Linked DNA regions of Canis lupus familiaris. The protein of the gene in region 3 purifies or fractionates together with the protein of the main gene of each other region. This does not show direct contact. Links are inferred from orthologs where the notes say so. Each region holds a gene or a part of one and is shown on either strand. Other genes may lie near its edges.

The links.
Region 1: the proteins of KCNQ1 (region 3) and AKAP9 purify together in Homo sapiens (affinity purification with western blotting; 3 studies listed by BioGRID and IntAct, with this or other methods). This does not show direct contact. The link is inferred for Canis lupus familiaris from reciprocal best matches to the Homo sapiens genes KCNQ1 and AKAP9.
Region 2: the proteins of KCNQ1 (region 3) and NEDD4L purify together in Homo sapiens (affinity purification with western blotting, with the first as the bait; 3 studies listed by BioGRID). This does not show direct contact. The link is inferred for Canis lupus familiaris from reciprocal best matches to the Homo sapiens genes KCNQ1 and NEDD4L.

The regions. Positions count from the first base shown.
Region 1 is NC_049235.1:17,592,191-17,595,834, reverse strand, and holds part of AKAP9 (A-kinase anchor protein 9), read right to left. Parts: intron 2,197-3,644; coding exon 1,983-2,196; intron 1-1,982. UniProt on the Homo sapiens protein: Scaffolding protein that assembles several protein kinases and phosphatases on the centrosome and Golgi apparatus. Required to maintain the integrity of the Golgi apparatus. Required for microtubule nucleation at the cis-side of the Golgi apparatus.
Region 2 is NC_049222.1:18,069,871-18,074,031, reverse strand, and holds the start of NEDD4L (E3 ubiquitin-protein ligase NEDD4-like), read left to right. Parts: upstream 1-1,250; 5' UTR 1,251-1,318; coding exon 1,319-1,366; intron 1,367-2,111; exon of another isoform or gene 2,112-2,390; intron 2,391-4,161. UniProt on the Homo sapiens protein: E3 ubiquitin-protein ligase that mediates the polyubiquitination of lysine and cysteine residues on target proteins and is thereby implicated in the regulation of various signaling pathways including autophagy, innate immunity or DNA repair.
Region 3 is NC_049239.1:47,059,428-47,063,071, reverse strand, and holds part of KCNQ1 (potassium voltage-gated channel subfamily KQT member 1), read right to left. Parts: intron 3,274-3,644; coding exon 3,129-3,273; intron 1-3,128. UniProt on the Homo sapiens protein: Pore-forming subunit of the voltage-gated potassium (Kv) channel involved in the regulation of cardiomyocyte excitability and important in normal development and functions of myocardium, inner ear, stomach and colon.

The DNA.
Region 1 (3,644 bases), on a different chromosome or scaffold from region 3:
CCCAGTACCCAACACACAAAATACATCATATATCATAACCTATTTATATATCCATTGAAAACTGGAACAAGAATTTCACAAATCATTATTTCCTCTTTCTACATGTTATACACTCTATTGGTATAGAGTATTTGTTCTACTGTACTCTCTCATTTAAAAAAGAAAAATGCTGGTCAGGACCCCTGGGTGGCTTAATGGTTGAGCATCTGCCTTTGGCTCAGGGGTCCCAGGATCAAGTCCTGCATTGAGCTCCCCATGGGGAGTCTGCTTCTCCCTCTGCCTGTGTCTTTGCCTCTCTCTCTCTCTCATGAATAAAGAAATAAAATCTTTTTAAAAAAATTCTGGTCATTACTCACTAACTTCATCAACCATTAGTGGACTCATCAATTAACTTGTAATTGAAAATCACAGGACAGATTCTATCTGAAGAGGATATCAATTAAAAAAAAAAAAAACACGCACTTAATGTAATCTTATTATATTCAAACCCAAAGAACTCCTGAAGTGAAAAGTATGATATTCTTATTTAAGTCACTCTTTAAATTCTACCTTGTTCAACAGAGCAACTGAACAAACTTATGAACTACCTCATTCTCAAAAGCAGATCCATCAAGGGTGAAAGCCTAGAGATGCCTTGAACAGAGGAAGTCTAGCTAATTGAGTGGTTAAATAATATTAAAGATGAAAGTTAACTGTAACTAGCCTTCTATTTCAAGTCTTTACATGTTCCTGCTTCCCAAAGTGCCATCTTAGTTCTTTGGCCCATTATGCAGTCTCTTTGGACACTTCATTCTTTTCTCTGGACTCAAATGATCTTTTGATTCCAAATCTTAATCTTGAGCCCAAACCTCCCTCTTGTGTTTTAGACTTCTATTTTTAACTGCCTACTAGACAAGTCTTTTTTGAAGTCAATAGGTAATTTTAACTCCATATATTCCAACCTGAATTTATTTTCCCCACAGATTTGCTCCACATCCTCTTTTGTGACTAGTCACCTTCAATCCAGTTACCCAAACTAGAAACTTGGATCACTCTCAGTTTTTCTCTCCATCCTCCTCATATTAGCTGCAGACTATAGCCTACCTCTTTAATTCTTAAACTTTACTGTTATAAATATTATTGTTAGCAGAATTACTGCCAAAGTTGCTTAACTCGTCTTCCCATCACTAATCACCTCCCCCACCTCGTCCCATAGTGTTATCTTAAAGTAAAAATTTTACGGTTACTCCCACTACTTAAAATCCTTTTTAAGGATCTATTTATTCTATACAGGTCTTATCACCAGTAGCATAAAGCTTACACATACTTCAGAGTATATAAAGCCTTTTCTGATCAAGCTCCTGTCAATCTTTCCTGCTTTATCCCCCACTACTTTCTCACATAGCTTGAACTCTCAGTTCTCCAAAATGGAGGCAATCTCTCACACTTCTTTAACTCAGAAGCCTTCCCTAAAATTCCAACTCCCCTCCTCCTACCTGCTGCCTCATCCCACTCATCCTTCCAGAAAGTATAAGACTTTTCTCTATTACAGAAACTGTCCTATGCTAAGAGTTTATTTTTAAAAATATTTTATTTTATTCATGAGAGACACAGAGAGAGAGAGGCAGAGACATAGGCAGAGGGAGAAGCAGGCTTCTTCCAGGGAGTCTGATGCCGGACTCAATCCCAGGACCCTGGGATCACAGCCTGAGCCAAAGGCAGATACTCAACCATGAACCATGCAGGTGACTCTCTAAAAGTTTATTTTATATTGCTTTCCCACTTGATTTTAACTACTGGGGGGAAATGATTCAGTGATTTTAGATTTCTCAAGCACTTAAAAAAAATGTGCAAGGATTATATGAAAAAAATGAATCCAGGACTGGGGATATAGTTACCTTCTTCAATGGATTTTAAGACAAGGACAAAACCTGGAATGGTAGGTAGGCTCTAAGTGATACTTGTTTCATAGTACTTATAGGTTTTTTTTAGAAACCATTTACCTGTTTCTTGTGCTTTTATATTTTGTAGCTCTTGCTGGTGTATTTCCTGAAGTTCTTTTATCTTTTCCTCTTGGGCAGAAATAAGTTCCTCCTTAAGACTACAAAGAGCTTTATCTTTTTCATTTTCCATATATTCACGAACCTGATCCACATGTGTTGAATAAACCAGAGAGAGGCATATACGCTGAGCTTCCATCTGTAGCCTTAAATCATTCTTAAAGCGAATGTATGTACACATTAGAACATTTTTAAATGATTTAAAATTTTAAATAATATAACTTCTATTTCTTACATATACTGACTACAAGAGGGAAATACATGAAATTATAGTTTGAAACTTCACATAAGTCTAATTTTTTTCTCACTTCATTTTGTTACATTCATCTACCTATCTTTTCAAGGAAATTAGCACAATATTGTCATTATCTCAACTTTATGGTAAACTTTGATGTATCATATAGCTTAGTATGGCCTCATCTTTAATTTTTGTTTAAAAATAGTATTTTAAATATAGAGAAATGCAAAGAATAATGTAACAAATGCTTATGTACTCATACCCCAAATTAACAAATACAATTACTTCATTTTTGTTTTTACAAATAACAATTATTTTGTCTTTTTATTCTCATTTCTTTCCTTTCTACATACCTTTTTGGTTTAGAAAGAAAACAAAATTTAATCCACTATGTTCCCATTCTTCCTTCCCCAGAGGCATTCATTATCACAAATTTGCAACAAGTCCATTGCATTTCTTATACTATCACTTTCAATACCTATAAACAATACATTATATTGCATGTTTCTAAGAATTTACATAATGGTTCCAAACTGTATTTTGCAAATTGTTCTTCTCACTCAATATACTTCTAGGTCTAACCATGTAGATACAAATTAATTAAAATGTGGCATAGTACTTATAAATGCAGGAAAATTTGTCACCTTCCTTCTTGGAGTTTAACTGGACTATTTCTAATTTTTTGATATGTCAAAAATACTGCACTAAATTCTTAGAGATAGGTCCCTATACAAATACACTAGTGTTTCCCTAGTAGCGTGGATCTCAAACTTTAGCAGATATCAGGAATGCTTATTAAAATCGACTGCTGGATCCTTTCCCCAGGGTTTCTGGTTTAAGAGGTCTGGTGTGGGGCCCCAAATTTTGAATTTTACCCTGTTTTGAAGTGCTGCCGATACTGCTAGTCAAAGACCATACTGAGAACCACCTAGAAATGTAGCTGCTGGGTCACAGGGAATGTATATTAAATGTATTAAATTTTATCAAATTATTTTTTATATAACTATGCTAATTTACACTGATATTAACAGCATACGTGAGTATTCATCTCCCCATACTTTATTGTGGGACTCATTCTGCCAGTCTGATGGGTATAAAATACTATCTTATTATTTTATCAATTTTTAGGTTTGAAAGTATCTTTTCATGTTTATTAGCCAATTAGCTTGGCTGCGAGAGTAAAGTATTTTGGGGGGGAGTTAGTATGATTTCTAAGCATATTTAGATTGCTCTGAGGTGTTACTACTGAATAAATCATTGCTCTATTTCTTCTGTGAGGTCCCCTCCACACACACATTTTACTCCTCTCTCCACCAATAAGGCGGTTTGTCTTAGTATTGACAACTGGGAAGGGACAGTTGGCAGGT
Region 2 (4,161 bases), on a different chromosome or scaffold from region 3:
GGTGGGGGATGCCCATTTTCTTTCGAAAACGATCTAGCAGGGCCCACAAGCAGATATTTTAGCAAAGTAGCTGGAAACAGGCATAAGGACGCTCATGGATCACGTGAGTTCTCCTTTCTTCCTCGAAACATTCTAAAAGCGCCCTGTTCATTCCAAAGTAGACATTCTGAGTGAGGCTTCTTTTCAAAGGAAAAATCGCATATTGTGCTTATAAAAAGACAAAAATTCGCAACTGCCTTTACCAGCTAAATTTAAGGAAAGGCTTCCCGGAAAAAGTGGAGGGATGCATTTCTTTCGCTTATTTAAAAGTCGTCGGCGGCGTCCCTATGGATCTTGGGGGTGACCAGGAGGGGATGTGCTCCGGGAGGCACCGCGGCCGGGACGCGGGAGGAGCCCGCCCGGGTCTGCACGTGCGGGGGGCGGGGGCTCCCCGAGCTGCACGGTCTCCCGCGGGGGCGCCCGGGCGAGCGGAGCCGGCTTTGCTCAGGGGGGCGGGTGCGCGCCGGGGCGGCGCGGCCTCGGCCTCGGCCTGCGCCCCCGAGCCTGACCCAGGCAGTGGCGAGCGGCGGCCACACCGGGGCAGCCTCTCCCCCGCGGGCGGCCGGCCGAGGGGTCCGGAAGCATATGCCCGCCTCCCCCCCGGACCATCGCGGCGCGCTCGGGGCTCGGGGCGCAGGGAGCGCGAAGGGGGTGGCCCGGGGCGCCCCGGGCGCCCCGCCCCCGCCCCCAGCCCCCCACGCCCAGGCCGCCCCGGCCCCATTGCGCGCGCGGGGAGGGCCGGCTCGGGGCGCACCCCCGCTCCCGCCCCCGCCCCCGCCCCGCCAGCCCTCGAGCGCCGCCCCCGAGCCCCGCGGGTGGGGGGGGCCTGGGCCCCGAGCCCCGCCGCGCGGCCTCTGATTGGCTTGGGGGGCGCGTGCGCCCGCCCCGGCGAGCGGGGAGGGTCCCCCCGGGCGCCGGGCGGGGGCGGGGGCGGGGGCCGGGGCGGGGAGAGCGGGGGCCGCGGGGAGCCGGGCTCGGGCGCGCGGAGAGCCGGCTCGGAGAGCGCCGGGGAGGGCGGCCGGCGGGCTGGGCGCGCTCCCGGGGCCGCCTGCCTGCACCGCCCCGCGGCCTTCCGGGAGGAAGCGGCGCCCGCGGCGGCCGGGGCGGGCGCTCGGGGCGGGCGCTCGGGCTCCCTCACCTGCCGGCGCCCGGGTCCCCCCGCAGCCCGCCCGCGGGACGCGCCAGGCCGGGCGCCGAGCAGCGCAGGAGCGCAGGAGCGCAGGAGCCGCCGGCCCAGCCGCCCGGGAGCGCCCCGCAGCCCGCGGGGGGCGCCGGCTCCATGGCGACCGGGCTCGGGGAGCCGATCTACGGACTTTCGGAGGACGAGGTGAGCGGCGGCCGCCCGGGTCCCGGCGGGCGCGGGGTCTGCGGGCGGGGTGCGCGCCGCCCTGGGCCGCGGGGACGGAGACGCGTGCGCCCCTCGGCCGCGCTCCCGGGCTCCCGGGCAACTTCCCGCCGCTCGGCCCTGCGGCCCGGGAGCCCACGCCGCGCGTCGCGGCCGGGTGTCGGCGGGACCTCCCGGGGCCGAGCGGCGGGCGCCCCGGGGCTGCGTGCGCGCAGGGGCAGGGGCAGGGGCGGGGGCCGAGGCCGGCGCGCCCGGGGGTCCCGGGGGTCCCGGGGCGGGGGCGCGGCCAGGGGCGGCAGGTGCCGCCGGAAACTTGGAGGGAGCCCGCAGCCCTGCCATGTCTTCTTTTCTTTTCTTTTCTTTTCTTTTCTTTTCTTTTCTTTTCTTTTCTTTTCTTTTCTTTTCTTCCTTTTTTTCCTCGGCCCCCCCCCCCCCCGGCTTCCGAGCCCGGCACCCCCGGGGTAGGTGGAGAGACAAAAGCTCAATCGCTCCCCCTTATTAATAAAGCAGATGCGGGAAGCCACGCCCCCGAGGCTGTGGCTGCGCGGGGTGAGCTTTGTTCGCGGCCTCCGAGGTGTCCCCGCGGCCCCCGCCCCCCCGCCCGCCCGGAGGGGACCCCGCGCCCGCGCCCGCCTCGGCCCCGGAGGGCGGGGACAGGTAGGGGGGCCCGTCGGCGGGGCGCGGGCGCGGGGCTCCCGGGGGCGCTTTACGGCCCTCGGTGCATTACTCAGCGGGGAGGTATTTCCTCTCCTGGTCGTGCGTTTCATGAAAAGTTGATGCCTGGAAATTCGAGGGTTTCGGGCTTTCTCTTTCTTCCCCCTCCTTTCTTTTCCGAGGTCCCCTCTTTCTCGGGTGCTGGGGGTGGGGTTGCTGGAGAGGCTGTTATCCGGACCTGCCCCGTGATGGCTTCTCTCTCTGCAGCTTTCCTGCCCTGGTTGGGGGTGTGTGTGCGTGCGTGTGTGTGTGTGTGTGTGTGCTTTGCAAGTGTGTGATGGAATCGTGTGTGTGTGCTTTGTGACTAATGGAATTGTGCGTGTGTGCACTTTGCAAGTGTGTAATGGAATCGTGTGTCTGTGCTTTGTAAGTGTGTAATGGAATAGTTACCTGGGGGTGGAGAGAGTGTTTGGGGGTAGGACTTTTTTTTTTTTTTTTCTTTCTTTCTTTCTCTCTCGCCAGAGCTACCTAAAGCTTGCCTCGGTATGTATTTTATCAAAGAATGATCACAATGCAAATAATGTGTGATTTACGTTTTCGATTATTTTGCCCTGCTGTGCTCAGGGCGAGGTAATTTCCCCCTTTTTTGAAGGGGGGGGGCAGTTACCTGGGGATGGGTGGTGAAAAGGCTCCTTGTTGCTTTCACCCAGGGGTTTCTCCCGCTCCCCGGCTCCTCTACCCTTTTGAGGAGCTTTCCCTTTCATTCGGTACTTCTCCATTTAATTAGCAGCCCTAGATGGCAGGCAGTGAGCTTTTAGAAAGGTGCTGAGATACTGACATTCCTGAACAAAGGGCTTTTTGAGGTATGGTGGGGGGAAGACAGCTGCACTTCAGCTTTGGTCTCTTGTAAATTTTAAATTACATGATTCTTAGCGCACCAAAGAAAAATATATTAAGAGTGTTTGGAGAAATTCAACTTGATGAATGGATTCTCTGCGTGCCCCTGTTGTGTGTTCTTTGTTTACATTTATATCTAGTGTCACCATCTACCTAGGGCACATCCTGCCTCTTTAGTTAACTCAGATCTCCTTAACTGGTGTCCAGTGTGAAAGCGAAGGGTGGAATATAAACAGAATTGGTATGTGTGTGTATATACGTGTGTATGTGTATGACTGGGTTTACTCCTGCACGTCGCTGGACCGGTGTTTAGGGCTGGTGTGGGGAACAGCCCAAGGTGCTAAGGCCATTTTCTTGATTGAGTGATGGATATGTTGCTGGGACTATTAAGTTCCTTCCGCACGTTAGATTACAAAAGACAAGTGGCATCTGTTGTCTTTTTTCAGCTTCTACCAGTGGGGGGGGGGGGGGGGGGAATAAGGCAAGACTGTTTTTGATGACTTCACATTTCTATGGTGTTTGCTTTTTTTATGGGAGGTATCGCACCGTCGGGTTAGCCTTTGGAAAATCAGGGAATGCCTTCGTAGAATATTAACAAATTGTTGAATTTGCACAGCTTGTTTTGTCTCCCTGAATTAGTCTGTGTAAGAAAACAAATGAAAGATCTTAACAGGCTCTTAAAGCAGACTGGCTCATGAAACCAATGGCAGGGTTGTTTTTCCAAGGCGTGTTAAGTATGAGTGCACTTCAGTTCACACACTTGGTGTGCTGCCGAACATCACACGTGAAGATATGTTGATTGCTACATAAGAGCTATCTTACACATCTCTTAGCAAACTAGGTGTCCTTATACCTAGCACATTTCTTAAAAGTGAGTTTGTATTTTCATTGGAAGTTGATGGAAAGCGTTGCGTGTTTGGAGCGCACTTAGCTTTCTGTCCCATCTCAGAAAGATTTTTTAGCTCTAAGTACTACTGGTGATGAAGCATTGCAGGGGGATGCCAAGACAGGATCTTGCTCCCAGGTCTCTCCAGCTTGTAGAAAGAGAGGAATTAAATATGGGCTTTGCTTGTGTGAGTGCGTGTACTGTTTATTTTTTGTGTGTCTTGTTGAGGTTCCTCAGTGAGCTCAAGCTCCTATTTACTGATTTGAATCAGGTCACCTTAGGGAAACCAAATTTGAAATTGCCATCAGATGAAGGACTTTGGTGTTTGAGAGATTAGCAA
Region 3 (3,644 bases):
GGTTCAGGAATCACAACCAATGGCGGGACAGACAGAGCTAACGCCTCCCTGCTTCACTGTGGTGATGCGACCCAGCACTAGAGTCAAGGAGATGCACCTGAGATCCCCAGGGGACAGGTCACTCACTCGGGGTGGCCAGAGAGCCGGACAGAATGTGTATGCTGGCCCCTGCAGCACACCTGCCAGTGTTCACAGGGAATATGTATCTCAATCCGACTGTTCCCCAACCAGACCACCACCCAACAGCAAAGGCAAAATATAAAGATTTCAGACAAATAAAAACTGAGTTGATTGTCGATAGATCATCACTGGAGGAACCACTAACCACTCAAGGCCCTTCAGGAAGAAGGACGTTAAACTCAAGCTCTGAAGTGGAAACCTAGCAAACCTGTTGGTAAATGTAAGCACATCTCAACCACATACAAGTGACTAACTCAGAGGATTGTTTAAAAAGACAAAACCTAAACAGAGGCCAACAGCAGCTAACATGGGGAAGGGGCGCAGGGTGGGATCCGGGGCACTGGGTGGGAGACAGGGTGTGGGGTGGGATCCGGGGTGCTGGGTGGGATCTGGGGTGCCAGCCCCAAGACAGCAGCTGGTGGAGCCCTGCAGGACCCTCACTATGTGCACAGCTGCCAACTGAGGGGAGGGAGGAGGGTGAGGCCTGGCAGGTGTGGCCAGGGGCACAATGCCCCCTGCAGACTGCACCCCACAAATTAGACTCACGAGCGCCAGGCTCTTCTGTGAACATACCGCACGCAGCCCCGGGCTCCGCGACAGTGCATCCCCAGCACAGCTCCCAGGACTTGCTCACCTCTGACGAGTGTGTGGTGGGAGTGAAGGCCTCTCTGTACCCGGCGCCCCCAGCATCTCACACTGCCCTACCCTGGAGGGTCGCACCCAGGCTGCCCAGGGTCCGCAGGCCCCTCTTGCTGGCTTTGGCTCCTCTGACCCCCCGCCCCACAGGGACCATGTCCCACCAGCTCGTCCTGCCGGCCTCCCATCCTCACCATCCTGGCTGAGGCTCAGAGAACACAAAGCTGACTGCAGCTCCTCCTGCTCTGTGGACTTCCAGGGCCCAGGCTGGCTGACACCTGCAGGCTCCTGGCACGTCGGCACCGGCACGCCAGGCGCCCACGTGGCCTCTCTCTCCACGAGGAGGGCAGGCTTGCACCCACCTCACACGAGGAGAACACGTGGCATCCCTAGGCTGGAGACCACGTGGAGCCGCACAGAGGCATGGTTGTCCCCCATCTCCATCCTGCTGCTTACCCCCCCAGCCAGCTCTACTCAGCACTGGCACCTCCTCCTCCAAGAAGCCTTCGGGACCACCCAGGCTGAGCCTGGCACCAATACCCCAGACGTCCACATGCTCCACTCCCTTGCTGGTGCCCATCTTCCTCCCTGGATGCCAAGGATCCCCTGCCACCCCCACCCCATGGGCCTCCACCCGGCCCTGCATGCAGGGGGGTCCTGAGAGCAGACTCCAGTGACCAGGACAATGTGAGCAGCTGGGGGCCTGGAACCTGCATAGGGATGGGAGCCTGCTGGGCAGGGCTCCCTCTGTCCACACTGCCTGCCACCACAAAGGGTCCTCCTGCGGGCCCTTTCCATGAAAACAGGAAACCCGCCTGGGAATCACAGGGGCACAGACGAGGCTCTGCAGGCCGTGAATGTGGGTGGGCAGCCCTTTCCCGGACCCTGGGTGTCACAGAACAGAAGCCCAGAGACACGGTGAGCTTGGGACATGGAGAGAAACCACGGAGCTGGGGAGACAGCTACAGGCCAGTGCTGGGATGGAGATGGCACCTGCCTCACATGCCCCCTGGCGCACCCAGATGCCACCCGCGGGCGAGGCTCAGGTGCAAGGCCTGGGTCCTGCCCGGGGGCGGAACTCAGCACAGCTGCTGGCGTCCTGCCGCATGGGGGCCGAGCGGCAGGCCCTCCTGGCGCTGCTCCCTCCCCCACCAGGGCTCTTGAGAGTCCCCGCTGCCACCCACGGGCTGGGGGCCACTCGGGGCCCCCGGGGGCCAGGCCAACGGCTCAGGCACGAGAAATGCCGCGGCTCCAGGCTGGGCTGACTTATCGCGTCGGCGGGAAAGCAAAACTCCTCCGTGCAAAAGCATTCCACAAAGGGCGCCTGACTTTCCTGCTCTCGTGCCTCGTTAACATTCCGCAGGCATCCCCGGGTACTTAATAACAGCAAACAGTCTGAATGGAGCGCTCCGCATTCAGCAAACAGCCAGAGATGCTTCTACCCACGGCCGACCTGCCCATTAGCATTTACAGAGAGCCCCCATCTGCATGGCGACAATGGTCCTGCCCCTGAATCCGGAGTTGGGGGGGGTGGGCATTTGTTGGCACAATTGTCCCTTGTGCCCACTCCGGGGGGCGGGCGGGGAGCGCGTCCTGGGGACTCACCAGCGAAGTGGCCAGATCTGAGCCAGAGCGGAATCCCAACAGCGTGTGATGGGGCCAGGATGGCCCCATGCCCAGTGGGGTGGGCGCCCCGGCCCGGTCCGCAGACGGCTCCGAGGAGCAGGGAGCGGCTGCAGCCCCTGCCTGGAATGCTTTCTGCCAGGGGGGCTGCGATCAATGTGGGGGGCACATCGGGGGTCAGCCGCCTGAGAATGGAGCACTTGGCAGGGTGGGCACCCATAGGCACAAAGGGTCAGGAACAATATGAGCCTGTCCCTCTGCTACAGTCGAGATGGTGACACTACCCTTCCAACTGCCGAAGAGCTGGCATGTTCTGGTGGGTGCCGGGCAGAGGATGACAGAAGAGCAAAGGTACATGGTGCCGAGGAATGGGCCAAGTGTGGGTGCACAGTGTTGGCTCTGATGCCCCATCCCCGCGCCACCAGGAATGGGGGGGGTCACATGTATGGGCCACCTCCTTGCTGCCAGCCACATGGCATGACCTAGGCAGGCCGGGCACCCGGCAGCACAGAGTGTGGGACAGAGCAGGACAGAGGGTCCCTCCAGGGTGGGGTCCCACCTCCTCAGAAGTACCTGCCTTTGAGCTGGGGGTGTGGGGAGGGCAGGACGTTGCCGGGCAGACGCTAGGTCAGGGGAGCCGAGCGCCTGTCCCTGTCCCCGCAGCACCACCCCGGGCGAGGGTGTCTCACCAGAGCTGTCACAGTTGTCCACGGAGAAGTGGTCTGGCCTCCGCTCCTCCGAGACGGGTTCGCACGTGATGTGGGGGACCGTGAGCATCTTCTCTCCGGGGCTCACCCCGTTGTCCTTGTCTTGTTTGAACTTCTTTCTCTTTACCTAAGATGATGAATAATAAGCTGGCGGTTCCCAGGCATCCGCCGGCCCCAGAACCCCCTGGCGGTCCCCGCTGGGCACCTGCCAGGGAACCAGACCTCGGGGGCCAAGTGCCGGCACGGTCGCAGGCAGACAGGGAGGGCCGTGGCGTGGTGATGCTGCCGGGGGCCCCGTGGGGGGCTCAGCACAGGCGCTGCCCGGGAGCTCAGGCTGAGGGGCGGGCGGACAGGTAAACGTCCAAGAGTGCACCAGGGCACGTGCTGACAAGGGCCGCAGAGCGACGGCATGTGGGGGGGGGGCAGCAGGGGCTGGTGAAGACCCCTCTGAGGAGGTGACTGGGAGGAGGTGGAGGGGTCTGGGAGGGAACAGAGAGT